Coturnix japonica: one gene and its partners. The protein of the gene in region 1 interacts with the protein of each later gene in a pairwise test. Links are inferred from orthologs where the notes say so. Each region holds a gene or a part of one and is shown on either strand. Other genes may lie near its edges.

Evidence for each region.
Region 2: the proteins of EFEMP1 (region 1) and RIC8A interact in binary tests that used the Homo sapiens proteins (3 or more experiments, as listed by UniProt). The link is inferred for Coturnix japonica from reciprocal best matches to the Homo sapiens genes EFEMP1 and RIC8A.
Region 3: the proteins of EFEMP1 (region 1) and KHDRBS1 interact in a two-hybrid assay, tested with the Homo sapiens proteins (2 studies listed by BioGRID and IntAct). The link is inferred for Coturnix japonica from reciprocal best matches to the Homo sapiens genes EFEMP1 and KHDRBS1.

The regions. Positions count from the first base shown.
Region 1 is NC_029518.1:7,140,422-7,147,725, forward strand, and holds the start of EFEMP1 (EGF-containing fibulin-like extracellular matrix protein 1), read left to right. Parts: upstream 1-3,238; 5' UTR 3,239-3,347; intron 3,348-3,624; 5' UTR 3,625-3,686; intron 3,687-3,774; 5' UTR 3,775-3,778; coding exon 3,779-3,862; intron 3,863-6,759; coding exon 6,760-6,808; intron 6,809-6,979; coding exon 6,980-7,240; intron 7,241-7,304. UniProt on the Homo sapiens protein: Binds EGFR, the EGF receptor, inducing EGFR autophosphorylation and the activation of downstream signaling pathways. May play a role in cell adhesion and migration. May function as a negative regulator of chondrocyte differentiation.
Region 2 is NC_029520.1:1,399,458-1,406,682, reverse strand, and holds the start of RIC8A (synembryn-A), read left to right. Parts: upstream 1-3,303; 5' UTR 3,304-3,419; intron 3,420-3,437; exon of another isoform or gene 3,438-3,528; intron 3,529-3,625; 5' UTR 3,626-3,724; coding exon 3,725-3,808; intron 3,809-6,022; coding exon 6,023-6,070; intron 6,071-7,225. Other genes in the region: VPS51 (vacuolar protein sorting-associated protein 51 homolog), read left to right, coding at 332-592; BET1L (BET1-like protein), read right to left, coding at 1,765-1,932, 2,632-2,688, 3,033-3,124, 3,266-3,284.
Region 3 is NC_029538.1:4,463,932-4,471,355, reverse strand, and holds the start of KHDRBS1 (KH domain-containing, RNA-binding, signal transduction-associated protein 1), read right to left. Parts: upstream 3,923-7,424; 5' UTR 3,834-3,922; coding exon 3,512-3,833; intron 1,246-3,511; exon of another isoform or gene 1,213-1,245; coding exon of another isoform or gene 1,149-1,212; intron 1-1,148. Other genes in the region: PTP4A2 (protein tyrosine phosphatase type IVA 2), read left to right, coding at 4,794-5,305. UniProt on the Homo sapiens protein: Recruited and tyrosine phosphorylated by several receptor systems, for example the T-cell, leptin and insulin receptors. Once phosphorylated, functions as an adapter protein in signal transduction cascades by binding to SH2 and SH3 domain-containing proteins.

The DNA of each region.
Region 1 (7,304 bases):
TTACTTTGAAAGGCATCTGGTTATCTAAATCAATTCAGTGTCTTTGAAAATTCTTGGTTCTCCCCAGTTCCCTGTGCAAGCATCAAATATTTGCTCCATTTCGTAGACCAAGAGTACACCAAGAAACATATTAAGTGACTTGCACAAAGCTTCTCAGGAAGACAAAGCTAGATATGAAACTGACTCCAACATATTCTGGGTAATACTGGATCTGAATTCTGGCTTTTCTATTTTGCCTCTTAGCCAGAGCAAGGAACTGCACTAACATAGTTTAATCAAAAGGAAACTATACATTCCAGTTAACATTTCAAATATCAAGAAAGCTGTTTTTTTCCTCAGATGGATTATAGTTCTGTGGAAAGCTTCTAGACAGCCCTTACTTTACCCAAACTGGTTGAAACCTCATACACTGTCAGCTTTAAGCTGCTGTATGCAGCACTCCTGGTTCTCCAGAAAAGGGAAGTTTTGATATTACAGAAACGACACATCTACAGTATACGTCTCCCAGTGATGCTTCTCTTATGTGGCATGAGCAAAGAAGAAAAGAACAAGAGAAGGAAAATCACTGGAAGGCACAGCAATGGAAAAGAACTGCTCTGAAAAAGAACACAATTGAACGAGTACCCATACAAGCACAAGTGGGAAGACTATCCAAATTCCAGATAAAATTGCTTAGAAAAATAAAACTTCCCAGTAATTGTGGTGCAAACTAAGGCCTGGATTTATGACTCTTGAAATCAGTTCCCTGATTTGGTGTGGCTGTACAACTGGAGCAATGAAAGAGATAGATAGCTTTCTGCAGGGGCTCCTTCCCCATCTACTCACCCTCTCACTCTCACATTTTCTTTTCATGTCAGAGGTCTGTGATGAGAACACAATACCACACCCAGCAGCCGCACTTCCACTGGACTTTACAGAAGCATACAAAATATGTGATCACATCTCTGTAAATTGCAGAAGCAAAATGGATTGCCTGACAAACTGCATGCAAACCGCACGCTTTGGCTTTCAGTAAAAGTTAAAAATAAGAAATGGCAACAACATTGTATTTCAATATCCTCACAGAGCATTGCTAGAGAACTATATGTGAAATTACAAGTTGGTCCAGTTAGCCAAAGGCCTCGGCACAACAGAAATCATACATCCCCCATACACGAGAAAATACAGGTTTACCTCCATCAGCTTTCTATTAAAACATGAAAGCAATTTGCTAGCAAATTAAGTTCACGCTAAAGTTACACCCTACATCATAAGCGATGTGCTCACCTCACCTCCCTCAAAGATCAACTTGTAAAATCTTACCTCAAATAAAAGCTCGACATTTGTCATATTTAATCAGCTATAAAGTCAGGCATATAATTGTTCACAATTTATCCTTCACCAGCACGGTGCCATTTATGGGTTGAAACATGGAAAAAAAATATCTGACATTTGCAGGAAGTGTGGCAGAAAGGCAGTCTGCCATGTTATCAAAATAATTTATGTGCTAAAATTCCTGTGAGTCCAACATGAAAATAACATCTCCACCATCCCAGCTCTTAGTTCAGACAGCGCCAGTGTTACTTGATATGACATACTGGGGAAAAGAAATCATCTTAAATTGACACTGATAGTCTCTTGAGCTGTCGAATACAAGTTGCTTAAACTTGCTGTGAGCTTGATTTTCTCTGCATTTGAAACAGGAAAAAGGGGGTCAGATCTGGGAGTAGAAGAGATTAAAGTGCAATTTTGTTTTCCGTATTTTTAGGCTAGTCTCTAATATCAATCTGCTCTAAATTATGTCCAGCTGTCTAGTGCCCCCAGGGACAGTTCCAGCAGCCAGAATTAGCTGGAGTGCAGTGACATTTTGACCACACACAGTCTTCCTTCAGCCTACCTATCCTTGGGTTTCTGAGGACAAAAGGGAGTGGCAACAAGCCCTGCCAGGAAAACAAAACACAAACACGCAGTCATAAAAACAGCATGTTAAAGGAAGTATGAAAACCCGTGGTTTTGATAGGAAGCAAAGGCTGAGACGTGACAGAGTTCACGAAAGCCACGGGGAATAGAGTGCATCATTTGCAGAAGGAGCCAGAAACAAGTAATTAGGGGCCAGCCTCAGAGGGCTGCTTCCATCAGTAGCACTGTCAAGTGAGTGTTGCTCTAGGTTTCCCACTCGTGCGCTATTTGGGCTCCTATACTGCAGATGTTGGGACGCACAGCACATTTGCTGCCTTCCTCAGGCCGTTTTTTTTTCCCTGCTGTTTTCTTCATTACTGGCACAGGCTGGCCATGGAGGTCACCACCATCCCTGGAGGTGTTCAATAAAGAGGGTGGATGTGGCACTGAGGGTTTAGTGGTACGGTGGGGATGGAGCAGTCTTTTTCAACCCTAACGATTCCATGATTCTGCTCAGTCCCGCTGCAGGGAACTTGCACGAAGGAGGGGGCGGGTTGGACAGGGCCCTGGGCAACCTGATCTAGTAAAGGTGTATGTTTGGTGCCCTTCTAGGCAGGGGGTTGGAACTACATGATCCTTGAGGTCCCTTCCAACCCGGGTCATTCTGTGAAGGGCTGTGCCCCAGAGGCCGGTGAGCGCGGTACAGGCCCCAGGGCAGCGGGCACGGCCCCGAGGGACACCGCTGTCAGGCGCAGGGTTTGGGTGCTGTCTGGAGCCGGGGTCGGACTCGCTGACCCTCGCGGGCCCCTTCCAGCTCAGCACGTTCTGCGCTCCTGCAGTTCGGCTTCACCCGCCCCGGCTTCTCCTCAGCTCCGGGAGGGCGGGAGCAGGGGGACGGCAGCCAGGCAACGCCCGGCAGCTGCCCGCCTCGCGCCGGGAGCCGAAGCCTGCGGCGCGCTCCTCACCGTGCCCTCCACGGCTCTGTCTGCTGGGACATCGAGCGAGAACACCGGGCAAGAACACACCCGGCGGGATGGAGCTGGTGCCTGCGGACCGGCTGCGGCTACCGGGGCGGGAGGGCTCGTTCCGCTCCCTCAGGACGCGGCCCCGTCCCTCCTGCCCGCAACATGGCGGCGCAGCCCCGCACCTGCTCCGCCTCAGGGCGCTTCGGCCGGCGGCGTCTGGGCGGGACAGCGGGCGCGAAGAGCGGCGAAGGGCCGTGCCCTGGATCCAGTGCCGCCCTGGATCCACTGCCGCCCCGCCCCGCCCCGCCCAGCAGCAGGGCTCCGGCCGCTGAGGGTTCGGTAGGGGGCGTCCGGGGGCCCCGGTAGGAGCCGGGACCGTTTCTATTTAGCTGAAGGTCCGGGGGGGCGGTGGGTGCCGGTACCGCAGCGGAGCCAGCGGACGGACGGGGCCGAGCCACCGCGGTAGCTGTGCCAACGGGAGCAGCCGCCCCGGCCCCGCCGCAGGTAAGAGCGGGATGGCGGGGGGATGGATGCGCCCCGCTGCCCCTTGGGGCAGGGCGGACACAGCTCGGCAGGTGCCCGGCGCGGCGGTGACCGTCGGTGCCGCCCCGGGGTCCCCTCCGACCGTCGGCGGCTCCCTGGAGAAATCGCTTTAGCAGCCGAGATACGGGCTGGCGAGGGTGCCGAGCTGCGTGCTCCTCGCCCGGCGTGCCATTAAGCGCTGTGTCGTTTTAAAGGCGGTTTGTTATTAATTGTAATTATCGCTGTGACTGTTTTTCAGCTGGATCAGGTTCCCCACAGCTGCCGCTCGGGAAGGGGCTGCGTGCTGGCCGCGGTGTCCAGGTAGGACACGCGGCGCGCTGGACACTGAGTTTTCTAGCAAAGGAACGCTAAAAATACCACTGGTTTATTTGTTTTTCTTGCCTTCCAGGTTCATGATGTTGACAGCTATGTTCTTGGCTGCTCTCATTCTTATTACAGTACATTCACAGGAAACTGAGGAAACCATAACGTACACGGTAAGGTTTAATAGAGCGGGAGATGATTGCTGCTTTGCAGGGATTCTTTTCTAAATGATCCTTAAGAAAAGCCAAACTTCTTGCCAACGCGTTGCATGTAATGCAAAGTTGTTTGAGTTTGAGTGCTAGCCTAAAATAAGCTGTTCCTATGCCGAAGGGGTAGTTGAAATGCTGAAGTTTGCAAGGCTGAGCAAAATGGGCTGCAGCTCCCTGTTCTGAAAAGTTTATCTGTGTGCTGTGCCTGATGAACTGAGAGGAACTATGAGGCTTAGCTTTTGTATCCGCCTTCCTCGAGAAAAGGTCCCTGGGACCCTCGTTTGAAGTACTTGGAACTTGATGGATAATTAGGTCAAACATTCTTCTGTGTTTTCCTTTGGATGTTTCAAACTGCTTATAACAACATGCAAGTACTTAAAAAAAAATGCACTGCTCTTAATGAAGCATTTAGCTCCTGGGGTGGTTGCATGAATGTTAGCTGCCGAGCTGCTTCAGACCAGTGATTTATTTATTTTTTCTTCCCACCTTGATCAGTGTCTACAGGAAAACTGAAAGCAGATTCTCCTTACAGCCAGGTGACAGCATAAGCAGTTTAAAGTCCTCTTTGGAAATTCATGGTTCTAAACTTGCTGTGCTCGCTCCTTGGCTTCAATAGTGCATGTCATAGGAGGAGTGGCAATTACATCGGCTTGGGCTGGTAAAAAAAAAAAAACCCGCATTTTTACATCTGATTACAGCTGTAATCCTTGCAACTTGCTTCATATGGGTGGACCTCGGAATATGTATACAGACATCAGCGCAATGCCACACAAGCAGAAAATTCTGCACACATACAGAAAGCTACAGAGCCACAGCCAAAGGCTGAGATTGTGTTTTCTGCAAGTAATCCTACTGAAGTCAGTGGGATGGCTCAGGCAAGTAAAGGTTGCAGAGCTGGACCCTTGCTATAGGAGACTGGGCTGTAGAAGCAATAGGTGGTTGGGAGGACTTCTGTTTAGAGGCTTCTGGGGTCTTTTTAAGTCCCCCTAAGTGGAAACAGATGAATTAAGTACATTTTGAACATTTACACTAATAGAAGGATACTGCCCCCTTCTTTTTTACCATTTGTTACACATTAAAAATAGCATTTTTGTGGTAAGTGTAAATGGTTCTTTTTGTACCAGTAGATTTCTGGCATGCCTGTGTGACTTGGATTCTGGTATTATGTTTTCAAAGAGGTCATAGCATTCAGGTGCCTCAGTGATCATTAGGCTTTTAATCATACAAAATTATTTAACAATGAAAATTTACTGTTGGAAGTTTTACCCTTAGGATGCTACTGTTTCTCATACGTACATTATATTCATTTAGGACCAAATCCCCTTCTATTGTGAAACTCCCTTCGGCTGCAGTAGTAGTTGGACTTGGCTCCTTCCTATTAAATAGACTGCACTCCTGTTGTGCATCAACAGGAACTGGATGATTCAGTAGATACATGAATTAGCTGTTTTCCTTTGGGTTTGGGTTTTCATAGCTACAGTAACTTTGGTGTTGTCAACTCAGTATGTAGTCATTCCTTTAGAGATAGAGAATTGTAATACGCAATTTACTGTCTGCTTACCCCTTCCTAATATTGTAGGCTTTTACTTCCAAGTTGCTGCCAGATCTGGCAGATGGCTAGCGTCACCTGTGAATGAAGAACATATTTTCAGTCCTGTTGCTGAGTCAGTGTCTATAACAAGTTTCTCAAAATAGCTTGAGGATAGTACATGGAACCAGTGAATCTCAGCACCAGAAGATTAAATTTGTCACCTACACGGTTCTATATGGCAGAGGAGTTGCAGTAACACTTAGCTTGCTGGACTCTGGCTAGTTACATTAATTGACTCAGTTCTTTTTTTCTATAAGACCATTAAAATAACACGCTAAGCAGTGCAGGGTGCATATGCACCTGCATAGTGCAGAGCAGTTGATTCATTGATGTTTTAAATGTCTGCAGTAGCTGGCAACATTGTGATGCTTAACTAAGTAATTTCTAGAAATGTAATTGGTGATTAAAATTTACTGCATTCTAGACACTTCAGCGCTTTTGGGCAGAGGGTTAACCAAGGTATTTTCTTAAACTGCAAGGCAGAATATTTAAAATTCTTCCTGATGTTACCAGTCTGCATTGATATGAATAGTTGCTGAGTTCAGTCTTGTTTGAATTCTGTCAAGTTTTATTTATATAAGTAGTCCTGCTGCTATAAACTCTAACCGGTTATCGTACGTCTCACAATATAAATTGTTCTTCCTAGACTGCAGTTCCTGGAGTCACATGGTTAAAGTGCATGTGAATGAATTTCCAGCTGTCATGGGATCTTTCCCCGTGCTAATGGGAGAAAAGATGATATACAGGGGTACTGAGGTCCATTAATCCCTCTGGCATAATTATGCCTGGAATAAAAGACGTTCACTTCTTGGAAGGCAATGTATGAGATCAAAGAAGAAAAACTTACTTTTTCTTTTTTGAGAAGATTTTTTCCATCCTGGTCAGCTGGGTCAGTTGTTTCTATTGAACAAATATCTATTCTGATATATTGTTTTAAAGCAGATGCTTTAAAGCAGATGCTTTAAAACAAAATAGCAAGAAGACAAGAAGAAAGTGATGCTTCCCCCATTCTCATTAAAGCCTTGTCTACTCTGCAAACAATATGGGGACCTTCCTAAGATAAAGCCTCTATCTGTACATGCTTTTTCTTGTGCCTGCCTAGTAGTTCTCTACTAATAGCCATTTTTCTAGCTTTCCAAGGTATAGAAACATTGCATTTCTCCCAGTGTAGAGCTTGGAGTTCATTGAAATGTGCTTATTTTTCCAAAATAAAGAATCCTGTATAGCACAATATTTTTTACCAACATTTTCTTTCTTCTTTTATCTGTAGCAATGCACAGATGGCTATGAATGGGATCCTGTTAGGCAACGGTGCAAAGGTACAGTAAATCATTTCCCAAGAAAAACTTGCTGTTGGAATTATTTCAGTATTGCCACATTCCTGTTTCAAACAAGGAGTGTGCTTGCATGCCTCTTTGTGTTGTTTTATTAATGGCTGTTGCAGAGGATTCTACTGTTAAAAGCATGATTTGTGTTGTTGCTAACCACAGATATTGATGAATGTGAAATAGTCCCAGATGCATGTAAAGGTGGGATGAAATGTGTTAACCACTATGGAGGATACCTCTGTCTACCTAGAACAGCCCAAATTATTGTAAATGAGAGAGAAGAAGCAGCAGCTGAATCCACTAGTGGTCGAAACAACGTCATTCGCCGGACTCCAGCTGATCCTCACCGTGCCCCTCCAAACCCAACTCATCAAATTCAGTGTGCATCTGGGTATGAGCAAAGTGAGCACAATGTGTGCCAAGGTAAGCAAGCTGCTGTGTGTTTTACTTTCAGTATCATTGGATTGCATGTGATAACAAATCTAAA
Region 2 (7,225 bases), on another chromosome or scaffold:
TGAGGGAATCCCATGTCCCCACATCCCAGAGGTCCCAAATCTGTTTGTCTACCTGTCACATGCCCCTGGTGTCCCCATGTCTAAAGTTCTGGGGTTCCCCAGCCCAGGACAAGCATTGTCTTGGATTGAGGGAGGTCCCTGGGATGCAGACCAGGATGAGGGAGGCCTACTCCCAACAGCCCAACTGAGGGCATCCCTGACCTCAGGGCATTGCTGGGGTCTGAGGACCAGGGTGAGGGTTGTCTCTTAATTCTTCCCATCCCCACGTAGCTGTGGCATAAGGCCTCCCTGCATTGGGCATCCCCTTATGCCACTTGTCCCCACTTCCCAGGTGTCAGTGCTGACAGGGATCATCAAGATCAGCCTGAAGACACTGCTGGAGTGTGTGCGGCTGCGGACACTGGGGCGCTTTGGACTGCAGCAGGTGCAGGTGGACAGCCATTACCTACAGCTCTACCTGTGGCGCTTCGCTGCTGATGAGCGTGTGGTGCAGGGGCTGCTGGATGAGGTGGCTGCCAGTGCTGCCCACCGCTGCCTCGACCCTGTCCCTATGGAGCACAGCGTTGTCGAGCTCATCTGTGAGCGTGGGTAGGACCTGAGGGCACCCAGGAAACACCTGGGGACATGAGTTGATGCACAGGTGAGGGGGCACAGGAGTCATCTATGTGACCATGGGGCACAGCAGAGCTGGGGGTATCTCTGGGAGGGGAATGTCTTGGATCCTGCCACAAAGACAGGCTTTTACCTTGTGTATTTAGGGGCATCCCATGTGTTCCCACATATATACAGACATACCGCACCTTGTAAGGTCACCCTGTGTTCCCCTCCCAGCCCCAATTATACCCCACAGTCTCTCCCCACCCCAGTGATCGATGCCAATCCCATGTTGTCCCTGCAGCCCCCATGACGTGTCACATCATTCCATTCCCTTGGTGACATCCCCCTGCACTAGGGACATGCTGCACGCAGCCCATGTGTCACAGTTGAGGACAATAAATTAAATGCATGCAAGTTAAGCCTTGTCCCTGTGTTTGAATGCCTGGGGGTGGGAATGTATGGGGCCCTATGGGTTGGGTGCAGAGGAGCACTTGAACACCTGAGTTCCTGCTAGGTAGTAGGGGGATGAGGGCATACCCAGCCCAGGCACACGTTTATTGGGGTCATGCTGGATTAAGTCACACATTGATCATTCCAAAGTTTATAAATCATTACAGCCTAAACTTTGCAGCTTCCAAACCTCTGATTTATTAAACCTGTATTGATAACCATCTGGATTTGTCAGATATGCCAGGTATTAGTAATGGAGGTAAGACAAAAGTATCCCTTAAGAACTGGCTGCAAGACATGGATGAGACGAGAGATATAGGCATGAACATCAAAATCAGGTGATATGTGGAAATCCAGTTAGAATGGTCTTTGCAGGGCAGGCAGCTGCCAAGGAAAGGTGACAGATGTGATGCTGCAGGAGCTGAACAACAGTGGCATCACCCAGGGGCTGACTGAGCTCTTCCAGGTCTGGGTGCTGCAGGGTCTATATGTGCGGTGGGATGTGTCATCCAGAGCAGCCTGGTGGATGTGCTGTCAGTGAAATACTCATTTTACCTCCAAGACCAGCCAGAATGGTGACAAAACACTGGTTAAAAGTTATCTGGAATGTCTGTTGGGAAGTCCCAAGGATCCCAAAGCAGGGCAGATCTAGAAAGGCGCTGAACAAGTCTGTCAATCACATTGATTTAGTTCAGTAAAACTACGCAAGAACCAAGATCAAGTCCCAGCTTTGGACACAAGATAGTAGAGGATGAAGAAAACAACAACCAGTCCTACAGAAACAAAGCAGAGTAACTTGCGGTTCTCCCTCCCAGAGCGTGTCATGGTGCTGAATCGCTTCATGCTGCCGGTCAGCAGCCCAGTAGCACTCAGAAAATCCGAATCCTAGAGGAGAAACAAAGTGCAAAAAGCAGCATTTCAAACTGGAGAGGCAGCCCATGAGGAGGGTCCAGCTTCCTGCTTAAAGAACAACTGCAGCAGCTGCGCTGTAACTGCCTGTATCTCTGTACCTATCGTGTCTCTCTTATGAGGAACTTCCCTGCCTGCGCTCGTGGCAAAGGCACAGGTAAATACTGCATACCAAGTATCTCTACATAAAGCTAGCACCGTTAATGCCTGCCAGGGCAGGCTAAAAAGCACCAAAACCACGCAGTTTCTTTCCATTAGTTCTCTTTTTTTTCTTTCAGCATGGGGCAGCATACACTTGTAACACCACCAGGTGGCAGCAAACAAGTCTTAAAGCAATTCATTATCATTTCGACTCCACGTCTGTTTTCCTTTCTCATAAACTACCTCCCACTTTTTGCTCACGTTTCTCCTGAAATATCCCTAAATCTTCTCTAATAGAAGCACAATTGCGTGCTGATTCGGGGCTTCTCCTTTAAGATCTCTTGTCTTTACATCTCTCATTCCAACTCTCCACTCTTTTGATTTCTAGGCTGAACAAATATCCAGTTCAGATACTCCAAGGCCATACACTGCTATTAAGGTTCCAAGCTATTAAGCTTCCAAGCTCCCACCTTTGACCAAACTGGTCCCAACATTGAAATTCATGCTTTTTACCCTTCTTTTTTGGTTCCTTACCATGCTATCCAGGTAACGGTTCTGTTCATCAGCATCTTTATCAATATCCAGAGCCAGCTACACAGCATAAGAGAGGAAATTGACGTTAATGAACACCAAGACAACCTGGAACGCATCTAGGCCCACACTAGAGGATGTGGTGGAGGTTTGTTAAGCACAGCCACAAAACAAGGCCTCTCACTCACTGCAGTTTGGGGTTGTGGGAATCCTTTTGCTGTGGAAATAATCTGGGAAAGCTGGCAGAAACTTCCCTATGTTGGACATATGACAACAGCTGACGGACCAGCACTGCCTCCTACTGCTACACGTCAGCCATCGTATGCCCACAGCACTGAGGAAGCCCACACAACTGCGTTGTCCCTGAGACCCTGCAAGCGTCCATAGCAGCGCCAGCAACTCACCGACTTCAGCCTGGTGACTTTGCTGGCCAGGTTGTCTGTCATGCGCTTGTTCTCCACGTCCAGCATATCCTCCATAGCAACCGCATTCTGTCCTGAGGAGAAAAGAAACGCGTCTCATCATCCCGACTGGGGAGCATGGCACATCCCCAAGATGGCGGCGGGGTGCCCCAAGATGGCGGCGGGGCGCCCCCTTTAGCAGCCCCTCAGCGCGCCCCTCACTCCTTCCCCCTCACCTCGCCCCCAGTCCGCCATGGCGGCACACGGCGAAAGGCGGCTCCGCCCGGCAGGAGGAGCTCCGCCTCTGTAAAATGGCCGCTGGGCCTTCGCCTTCCCTGTTGGGTAGTGAGGAGCGGGGAGCTATTACGGGAAGCACCGTGATCTGCTGCGGTAATCCTCGGGTGGGGAGGGGGGGGTGTCCCAGCGCTGTGCTGGGAGGGCATGCATTAAACGTCGGAAAGCAAAGAGGAAAGAAGAGGATTAGAGGGGCAGAGAGGCTGTACGTGGTTCACCCGTCTGCTTTATGGACGCAGCAGTGAGCCGGCTCGCTTGATTTTTGTTTCTTTTTCCCCACCCCCTTTCTCACTGCCTCTCAGTTCTCAAGGATCGAGGTCCCTTTGCACCGCTGTTATCCAGGAGCTCTGGAAGCCTTTCCTCTCTGCTTCCCATCCTGCTGTAGCTGAGCTGTTGGTATCATGGAGCTCAGGACCGTAGTGGCCACGGTGGAAAGCGGGGAGCAAGACGCGGTCCTCAAGGTGCTTCAGATCTACAACCAGGAGGTGAGTGAGCATCACACCTCAGCCTGATGTCACCTGCTGCTGTCAGCAAGCCTGGAAGCAGGTTGGGCCGTGTTATGGGTTCACAGTGCTGCCCAGCTATCCCATCTCCTCTGAGCATCTGTCTCTGCATTATTGCCCTGGAGATGTCATAGACTGCTTTGTTTTGTTACTTGCAAGCTGCTTCTTAATGATGCTTTACTAGGAAGCAGCTAAGAAGCCTCCCTTTATCTTGTTTATGCTGGAAGAAAAGTACATGGGAAGGATTTTCTTTATTATCCAGATTGCAAGTTAAACCCGGTAGGGGAATAATCATGGGCATGAGGAGTAGGAGGAGCCTTGATGCTAGGCAAGGTTTGGAGGTAATAAAACTCACACCTAGGGAGGAGCTGCAGGTAGGATTGTTGTGATTTGTAAGCAAAAGACAATTAGGAGTTGGTGTGAATGGATGCTGGGATTGGATTAGGGTGCCTGATCTGAAAGCTGGCGCATGAAATAATGAGTGTAGAACATGAAAAAGACCGGGTCAGGAAGCTGAAGTGCGAGTGACTCTAACCTTAGATCATCTGCAGGGGTAGTTCCCTTTTGAAACTGTCTGCCAGGGAAATTTCCTTCAGAGGGTTTCCACCAGGCTAGGGCTGGCCCTGCAGATCTGTGACTCATTCTGCACCATTCTGAAGTAGGAGGGAAGCTGGTGGGGAAAACCTGTGCTTATCTTACAAGCATGTGCACTTCCCTTCCTGCACTAACTGTTTCCAGCAGTCGGTTTTGAAACAGCAGGTCCCTTTTAAAAGGTTGGTCTGCAGGATTAGCGTTGCTGGCAGCAGCTGGTGTGCTGGAGAAATTAGGATAGTAAATGGCATTTGTTGTGCAACCGTGTTGAGGCACTAAATCCAATGCTTTGAATTCCTCCAGCTGGTTTCTTTGTCAGCGTGTAGAGCATAGGAAACTTGTGAGGATGTCAGTCATTTTGCTAGCTTGTCTGGGAGAAATGAGCTGAAGAGATTAAACTGATTATAAGCCAACCGACTTCCTTGCATAGTTTTTTTTACTACAAAAGCAGGTGCTGTTATATTCTTCTCTAGGTATATATATATATTTAATTCACTATTAAATATGCAGTCAGTTCCTGGTTGTCGGGAATAGAATACAGCTAAAGCCAAACCCACAGGTGTGTTATGGAAATATTTGTGAATGAGATTACAGGAGCCTGCAAAGAAGCTCTGGAAATGCCTTTGTGCACGAGGTCAGTCTGACTAACGTTCTGACTGACATGAGAAGGTTCACAGATGCAAGGGAAAGCTCCGTTCTGCATAGAGTGGAGCGTTCACCTGTTTTAATTGGCTGTGTGTGAAGAACGTGAGCTGAATAACAGTCCTACTTCAGGATGCTGTAGGAAGAACATAAGGATTTGTTTGCAAGTAGCAAGGAAGTGATGCTTTCTATTAGGAAGGAAAAGAAACAATAACAAAGGGGAGAAGAGCGTACACATAGCTTGGTAGAGTCATTAAGCGTAATCAAGTTTACCCAGGGAAGCTGTGGATACCAGGCCAGGCTGAATGGGGTTTTGGACAACCTGAGCTTGTGGTGTTCATGCCCATGGCAAGGGGTTGGAATTCAGATGATCTTTAAGGTCCCTTAAGACCCAAACTATACTATGAGTTATGGGATATTTGGAATGTATTGAATACCCACCTCACAGCTGCAGTATATAAAATTAAGCTGGTCCATCAGATGGGCACAGCTTTGGCCTGTGACATGTGGTGTCCACCACTGAGCCAGCAGAAGAGAGTATGGGGTGTTCATCGAATGTTTTTCAGGCATGAAAGAGAAGGAAAACAATTCTGACTTGGCAGCATGGGCTGTATCTGGGCTTTTCAAATGAGGTTCGTTCCCTGCTTGTTAAAATGTAGCTGAAGTTGCTGGATACAAACAGTGTTGAACAGAGAAGACAATAATGAAGCAAAGCTCTCAGCAACAGGAAAAACTGTCCTTGTGTCTGGCTCCTACCTATGCTGTTTGTTAAAGAGGTGTGCAGTATTCATAGGTTTTTTAACACTCTTTGCCTCTTTGATTCCCTGTGCTGGTAAAGACTTCTTGAGAAGGCTTACTTGTCTTTATAGAGTGCTTTTCAGAGTTGCTTTCCAAGCTTATTCCCTGTTTGGGAAAGGCAGATTTGTGGATTTTTAAACTCATACTTTCTTTTCTGCTCTACAGAAATCTCAATGCTTTACCTTTGATGATGAGGAACGGGAGGAGAGGAAGGTAGGCGTGCTCTTTGGCTTCTTGTTCTTGTTGTCCTGTAGATGGTGGCTGGGGATAAAAATCAGTATTCTTCCAACATTAGCAATCCCTTTGGGTTTGGTGATGCATATGGCTTCAGCAGCATGCATGAGAAGCATGATCCTGTGTGTGTGTGTGTGTGTGTGTGTGTGTGTGTGTAAATGGTGCAGTCTGCTAAGCAAAGATAACAGCAGCATGCGGGTAAGTGCTTCTGCTGTGAGCGAGCTGCAGGATTTGACCAAAGCTGTCTATTAACAAACCCTTTAAGCTGGAATAATCTGGCACTCAGTGGAAAGAAATACCCCTGTCCATTTCCACTCGTGGCATTTCTCTTGTGCTGGGGCAGGCCTTTGCACGGCTGCACTGCAGATATGCTTGGTAGGATCTGCTTTAGGAAAGAACATTTTTCTTCTATCTCTGTTATTCTCCATCTGGACCAGTTTTGTGGTGGGTCGTGTGTGGAAGCAGGGGATTAATGGTGGAGTGACGTGTTGCTATGTGTAGTTACAACCTAGCTGCACTGGGTTGTGTGAGGCTTTACCTTTCGCTCTTGTACTTTTCCATGTTTGCTATCATGTATGTTATTGTTATCCACAAGGGTTATATCTTCAGCTGTGGTAAATCAGTGTTACTGGAGCTGTCAGTCTGTACCTATGAAGGGGTAGTAGGTCTCCAGACAGCACTGAAATTTATGGGAGGTCCTTTTTATTTGAATCTTCTGAGGTCTTTTCCCCTCCTTTCTTACCACATCACACACAATTCTGAACCCATTAAGTTCTTTTTCCCCTCCCACAGCAGTTCTCTGGTGTCAGCCTCAGCAGCCTGTTTGGAGCACCCAAAGCAGAAGCTTCTCTAGTCTTAATGCTCTGGGTGAGGCTGAACCACTGCTGTTGAACTGAGTGCTGCTTCTCAGTGAAGATATAAGGGACTTTTTTGCACTGTTCTCTTAGCTTATTGCAGCTGTCAGGTAATCCATATTAGCCAAAACCATCCTAACCATGGGTGAAGCTAAAATAAGCAGTAGTTCACTCACTCAGCAGCAGCTGCCTGTTCCTATTCTTCACTTAATTCTGACAGCACTCCCCAGCCATTCTTTGTCTCTTGCTGGTTGTCCTTGCTTGACTTGGGTCAGCATCA
Region 3 (7,424 bases), on another chromosome or scaffold:
TGACGGTCTCAGACCCCAAACCCAGTCAGGCACAGCGGGTTATGGCTGTACAGCCTGAATGGAGGCACCTGGCACCTTCCAGCAGCCCCAAGGATGGGGGCTTCATACACACATATTCAGAGATCTAAGCACATAATTGAGTTATTACATTGCACAATCATAAAAAAAGCCTAATTTCTCCTTGGATCACTCCTAAGTGTGTCACCATGGCTCCTCAGTAAAAAAACAATACAGACGGATACAATCAGCTTTGAGGAAGATGGGTTGATTTTTGCTCTGCAAAGAAATGATCTCCTGAGGACAGAATAGAAATGCAGCTGGAGCTCTGTCAAGTCTGTAAAACAGAGCGAGGAGATGCCTGGGTCAGCTTCACACGCAGCCTTTTCATTGCAGCTGTAAGAACACATCAGAGAACCGGGATGTGGAACAAGCAGAGCACACTGCTGGGCTCAGCGCTGGGTAAGCACAGCTTTAAATCCTGCAGTACAGTGGGATCCTCTCTGCAATACTTTGGCTCTCCAAAAGCAGTGAGAATGTTTGTAAGAGTATTCTGCATATTAACAAAAAGGACTTTCTACACACATAATAATGAAAGCGCCCTTAGGCTGCCTTGCCAGAACAACGTGATCAGACTTCAGCCTCTGAAAAGCAAAGAATCGCACCCACAACACACAGCAAAACCTGATGCAACAGCAGCAACGCCTGGGAATGAGGCTGGGGGAGCAGCAAACAGTTAAAGCTGTGCTCAAAGCCTCAGCTCCAGCATCACCGATTCTGCAAGTGAAACCCAAAACCAGAGAGAAGAAAAAACCCTGACCCAAAAAGCAACCCGCAGAGCGCTCCGGCTTTCAATGTGGGTCAGTGCAGGTGGCCTCACGGTCTCCTTCACAGCACAGAAGGAACCCCCAAAGCTTTAAACAGGTGTGAGGAAGGAGCAGCCCCACACTCCCCGTGGTGTGTCCCTCTGGGTGTGCATTGCCCCTTAAGCTATGGACTGGAAGCAGCACTGAACGAACCGACGAGCGGAAGCAGTTTGTCGGACCACTTACTGATATGCAGCAGAAGCGTACGTACACCTCAGGGGTTAAGCATGCCTCATTTCAGTGCTGATTTTTAAAGGCCGTGTCAGAGGTGCAGCAGAAGGTTACCTTCTTGCCACGGGGAATGGCAGCAGGCTGGCAGCATGCGTGGCAGTGGCTTCCCGGACTTCATGGGGGCAGTGATTGCTTTGTCTCAGAAGAAATCCTATGGGGCAGGTAAAGGGGGGTTGGTAACGCGGCTGCATTGCAGGAAGGAGGCTCAGCAGCCACAGTGCCACTCCTGATCTCAGCCCGAGCTCTTCCCTAGCAAAACCACCAAACGTGGACCTGCAGCACCCTGTGCTCTGCCCTCCTCACCATCCCGCCTGCCTGGGAACATGAAGGACCTCCAAGATGCTCCAGGTAAAGGTGTGAGCGGAGCAGAGGCAGCTCACTCACAAAGCACAGGAAGCTCAGAGATGAAATGCCAGCTCTGTCCAAGGAGAGGATCTCCATGAAATGGAAATAGCTCAGATTAATGCAAGAACCTGGAAAACACCTCCAGCCGACAGACACGGCACCGGATGCCTCCTGACTATCCCCAGTGCCTGGAAGCACTGTGCCTATGGGATGTCAGCACCTCCAGCCCTGCAGCCACAGCAGCCAGAGCATGAATGAAAGCAAGGAAAAGGAAGCTGGTGTAGATCCTGAATCACGGCAGTGAGGAACCTCATATTCCAAGGTGCAAAAATCCCCGTTTGCAACGTCTGTTCAGGGTGCTGTGTAACACAATCCCACCATCTACCCCCTTCACTGCTTCATATCACACAGTACATTGTCTGAGGATCAGCGTTACATCACTGTGTGGCCTTTCATCCCAATCCCAAACAATGCTGATTTTTCTTTAGAAACACTGAACAGCTCCAGAATTACAAAGGTACTTTCAGGCTACTTTAAGGCTACTTTTAGACACCATTTTACACTCCCCAAACCCCCAGTTCTCAATATACCTGAAGCAAGCAAAAAGCACCCAGCCTTCTTCCAATGTGACACCTCACAGAGCTGCAGCTCACTATGAGCAAACTCCAAGTTAATGGAGAAGCTCATAAATCCTTGTTAGACCGCTCTGCAAACAAAGCTGGGCAAAGGGGGCTGAGAACGCTGCTCCTTCTTTGGGAATGAACACACTCCTCAGGTCTCATGTCACTGAAGGCATTAGCACAGAGCTGTGAGCATCAGCTGGCTAAACGCTTTTATTAATGAAAAACATTAAACTGATGGCAAATCGGATTATAAAACTGATTTATTTAGATCGAGGTGCCCACAAATGATGCCAAGTTACCCGTGACGACGTACCTCAGCTATCTGCAGAACAGGAGACAGCAATTCTTAAGAATTATTTCCCACATTAAAGGAGGAACTAAAAAAGCCTCGAGCGCTGCGACAATTATGGCAATATTCAGCAGTATAAAGACCTGAGGAATCATTTGGAAGCAGGATGACAAACGGCAGCGCACGGAGCTGGTTCAATGTGCTGCTATCCCTGTGCTGGCACCACCTGCTCAGCACCGCACGCATATTAAGCTCCAAGCGGCAGCCAAGATTTGAAGCTGTTCCTGTTTGAAGCCGGCTGTGGGCTCTGCAGGTGGCACTGAAATACAGGAACAAAACTCACCAACCCCTATGAGAGGTCAGAAAGCTGACATGGCTCTATTGCAGCGCTGGGTGCGAGGATGGCACCTCCAAGCTGCACATCCAGGGGTTAAAGCTCACTGATTTCACATGTTTTAGATATGGAAATGTCGATGCATAACCACAACACGACGGCCTCTTCCTAAAATTGCTGTACTTATTAAAAACAGCTGTTGACTACATTCCTAATTAGTACTTCAACCTTGTTATGGTGCCTATACTCAGCCCCAGCAGGGTACAGTGCACATCCCCACAGCCCGTGGAATGCTCAGGCTCTGCTTTTAGGCTCCAGCTGTCCCGCTTATCTGGGAAAAACAACCCTCCCGAGCCACAAGGTCAGTCTGCAGAATAGTCTGTATGAAATGCTGAAGGCTCCGATTTTATTGCCAGGTATCAGAGGCAGCTGAGCCCACCCCGGCAGCTGCACGGGGAGGGAGATGGGGAGGAATGAGAGCGGGCAGGCGATTGGACAGCGGCGATGGGGAAGGAGAAGGCAGCTCCGGGCACAGAACAAAGGCTGCCATTCCCATTCACTACTGAGGATCAGCAGCACCACGGAACGAGCTCTGGACGTGTTACCGAGTGGAAAAGCACAGATCGCAGCCCACGATCTGGCCGCTCAGCTCGGACCCCTCCCCCAAGGGATGACAGCAGCCAACCTCCCTGTACAACGAACCTTCGGCTCCCGGTGCCCTATAGCTCATATCACACACAGCCCAGCGCTTCATACAGAGCCGTTCCCAGCACTCGGTACCGCGCTGCCGCCACATTCCATCCCCACCCCCCGCTCCGCTCGGTACCTGCGCTGAGGAGCTGCATGGCGTGAGTGAAGGACGGGTCCAGGCTGTCCTTCTCGGCCATCAGCTCGGGCAGGTATTTGTTCTCGGGCTCCATCTTGTTGTTTCCCCCTGTCAGCAGCGGGGCGGGGGAGGCGGCGGCGGGGCCTTGCGAGCCAGAGGAGCCTGCCGCCCCTCCGCCGGTCAGCAGCGGCTGCGGCTGCTGGGCCCCACGGCCCCCCCCGCCCCGGGGAGACCGCCGCGGGTTGGGCCCCCCTTGGCGGGATCCCCCGGGTCCCCCCGGCCCGCGGCCCATGCGGGCGTTGGACTCATCGCGGCGCTGCATGCGGGCACGGAGCGGGACGGGCCCGAACGGCGCTGCCACCCCGAGCAGCCGCAGCGACGGGACCGGAAGTGGGAGACCGGAAGTACCGCCCCATCCCTCACAGCGCCCCCACACAGCGCTTCCCGCGCGACCACCCCACGCGCTTCTGCGCATGCGCTGTCGCGCAGCCCCTCGGCTTCACAGGGCGCATGCGCGGCGTGAGAAGGAAGCATTCTCCTTGTGCGCATGCGCAGTGCCGGGCGCGCGATTGGGAGAGCAGCACGTGCGCGGCGCTGTGGCGCCAGGCTCAAGGAGCTTTACGCATGCGCACTGCGGGTCCGACATGGCGGTGCGGGGAGGTGCGATGCGGGACCGGGACCTGGGATATGGGCCTCATGTCTTAGTGCTGCTCTGCCCGGAGCACTGTGTGCTGTGGGCTGGCTGCAGCAATAGGCTTTTATAGGCTGAATATAGGAGCTGCTCTGCTTTAGGGCCATCCCTGCTCCCAGCATTAACAGGAGCACCGGATGTGGATGCGATCACATCCCCATTGCTCCCTGCTGACACAACGTGTTGTTAATCACTGAGCTCTGACACACAGCGTTCGTTCAGCTACAGAACGGACCTGCTGGGCTGCACAGCTCCGTGCTGCGCTGTGCACACGGACGGGAGGGGCCCCGCTGCTGCTTCCTGCGGGCAGAGCACACAGCAGCTCTTGTTCCAGCTGCAGGGCGGGCGCTCCGGGCCCGAACTAACGGGGCACGTGGTTGAGACCGCATCCCTGCCCGGGGCTGTGGCCGGGGCTCGCTGTCTGTCCGTGCTGTCTAACCGGAGCTGCCGTATCAGGACAGGAGGGGATGGGGGGGTTACAGGAGGGCTGTTCCATCGCCCCTCTGCGGGGGGGTGCGCACGTGGTGCGGGCGGACCGGTCCAAGTGCGGCGGGGGGAGGCGGCGGTTAGGGGGAGAGTCGGGCCGTACCAATGCCGGCTGCGTGGGGAGGGTGCGGGGAGCTCCGGCTGCGCAGGGATGAGAGCGGCGGCTCCTCGCGGCTCGGGGACGGGGCTCAACCCGCATCTCGTGTGGCGGAAAACGGCTGCGAGGCTGCGCCGCTCGCACGGCACAGACAGACACGGGATCCCCCCGCGAGGGCACCGAGTGGGCGCTTCCACGCGGGGGGATTGAGGCGGAGCGGGCCGTACCACTGCCGGTTGCGGGGGTGCGTCGCGCCGTGCCAATCAGCGCCGTGCGGGCCGTACCACGGGGCAGGGCGGGGGGGGAGCGGCCTGTGCAGTGTGAGCCGTGTGGCGGCGGGGCTGTGCGCTGTGTCCGCCGCTCGGGCCGCACCGGGGGTCGTTCAGCCTCAGCCCCGTCACGGGCCCCGCCGCTCCCCAACGCCGCCGCCGCCCCTTCCTGCCCCCATCGCGCCCCCCGGCCCGCGGTGTGGGAGGCGCCGGGTCCGCTCGGAAGAACGGCGCCGCGCTCAATGCCCGGGGTGAGGAACCGGGGGGGGCCGGGGTGAGGAGGAGGCCGGGGGAGAACCGAGAGCAGCCCCGGGGCGGGCATGGACCGGGGGGGGCTCTGAGGGTCCGGTGGGGCTGCGGGGGGCCTCGAGGAACGCGGCCTTTGTGCTCCGTGGGACCCCGCCCGGCCCGGGGGGGTTCGGTGTAACGGGGGCTGCGGCCTGGGGGGCCTCGGCGGCGTGCGGGGCTGTGCTGCCCGGACTGCGCCTCGGCCGGTACGTGCGGCCCTTCCTGCCGGTGCTTTGCGGGCCGTGGAGCACGGAGGTGTGTGGGGCTGCGTGTGGGGCTGCGGGGCGGCCCTTCCCCGTTCCCAGCACTGTGCGGATGGGTCGGGGGGGGATATCAGCCGTTACCGGAGTGTTGGGGGGGCTCTGGGTGAGGGTAACCCGACCTGTGCTCAGGGGGTGCTCGGTATCTGTGGGGCGATGTTTATTTGGGGGTGGGGGTGTTGGTGGATGGGGTCTTAGCGTGGGACGGGAGCGTCCCAGGGGTGTGGGGTTTGTGTTCACTTTTGTGTTTGTGCAGTGGTGGGAGAGGGAAGGAGGCCCCAGATGGTGGCGGAAGGGGCTGCCCTGTGCTGCCCTGTGCTGCCCTGTGCTTGGCCTGGAGGTGGGGTGTAAAGGACGAGGAGATTTTCCGGGATCCGGGCTGGAAGTGGAGAGGAGAAAACTGGGAGCGGTGCTGGGGGGGTGCCCTGCAGCTGGGGGTGGAGCTGGGGAGGAAAGGTGGCCAGGATGTAGTGGCTTTCCTGGGGCCTGGCAGGGGGCAGGACCTGCTGTGTAATAAAGGGACAGCACTGCGAGGCCCGGGGAGGGGGAGCAGGGAGTGCTGAGGGTGACTGCGGGATGCTCTGAACGCTGTGCTGCAGGGTCTGCTGTAGGGACACGCTTTGGGGGGGGAGGAAGCGGTTGTGGGGGTGTCAGCACGTGGGGACATGGCAGGGTGCTCCCTGCTGGGCGGTGGCTGTGGCTCGTTGGCGTGGCTGGCCGAGCTGTGTCCTCCCGGGGCAGCTGTGTGTTCATTGCCTGCAGCGTGAGGAGGCAGAAAGTTGGCTTTGAAAGGCTGCTGTATAAATGGAAACCGGCTTCAAAACTCCCCAAATGAGCCAGTCAGGTTCTGACTCAGAGCTGCAGTTAGTATTTAAAGAAGAAAAAAAAAAAAGATAAAACCACCACTGGCATCAGCCAAAAAACTCTATCTTCTTATGACTCAACGTATAGAGATACTTCGGTTTAGTGAACTCAGTTATTGGAAAGAAAAGATCAGCCTTAACTCTGAGTTAAAGTAGCAGGCGGTGGATGCTCTGAGGATGCAGCCCTTGTCCTGTGCTGTTCCCTGCACTGCATCCCTGCAGGGCTGAGCTGTGGGTGCAGCTGTGACGCCGCACTTTGCCCCATGAGCAGCACGGTGCTGGCTGCCCTTGGTGCTGGCTGGCCTTGGCCCGGGGCCGGCTGGGCCCTGCCTGCCCTTGGCTGCCAGGCACAGCTGAAGGCAGCTCCTGGGATGCTGCTGTGCGAGCAGAGCAGTGCTGTGAGCGGCACAGAGCGTGGATTTTGATAATATCTTTGGAGAAGACTTGTCAGCGATACACCCTGCTGAGCCAGCAGCGCAGCACGGGGCCGGCTGCTGGGCTCGGGTTAATGAGCAGCGTGTTTGCCCATTAGAGAGCTGGAGGTGAACGGCTCTGTTGAGTGGAGCCATGGGCTGAGGGGTGGGTTGGCTCCTTGTCACACATGGGGCAGGCTGGTGCCTACATAGGGCAGATCTATGTACCATCCCATGTACCATATGTATAGATCTATGTACCATCCTGTGGCCCTGGGCTAGTTGTGGAGGCTGAATGCAGTCTTAGGCCTCTCGATCCCTTCTCAGTGCTAACACTTGAGATGCCGATCTGCTGCCTCTATTCAGGTCACTTTCAGCTGTGCCTTTGTTTTGTTACCCCTCCTTTCTCCTTTCTGTGCTACAGAGTTACATTCCTTCTGGTGACTCGCACTGAAAGTCCGGCACTGCTTGAAATAATGGCCCCTGGATTTTAACAATTGCAACCTTGTGTGCATGCACTGAAATTGATCAGCTTAAGTTTCAGTT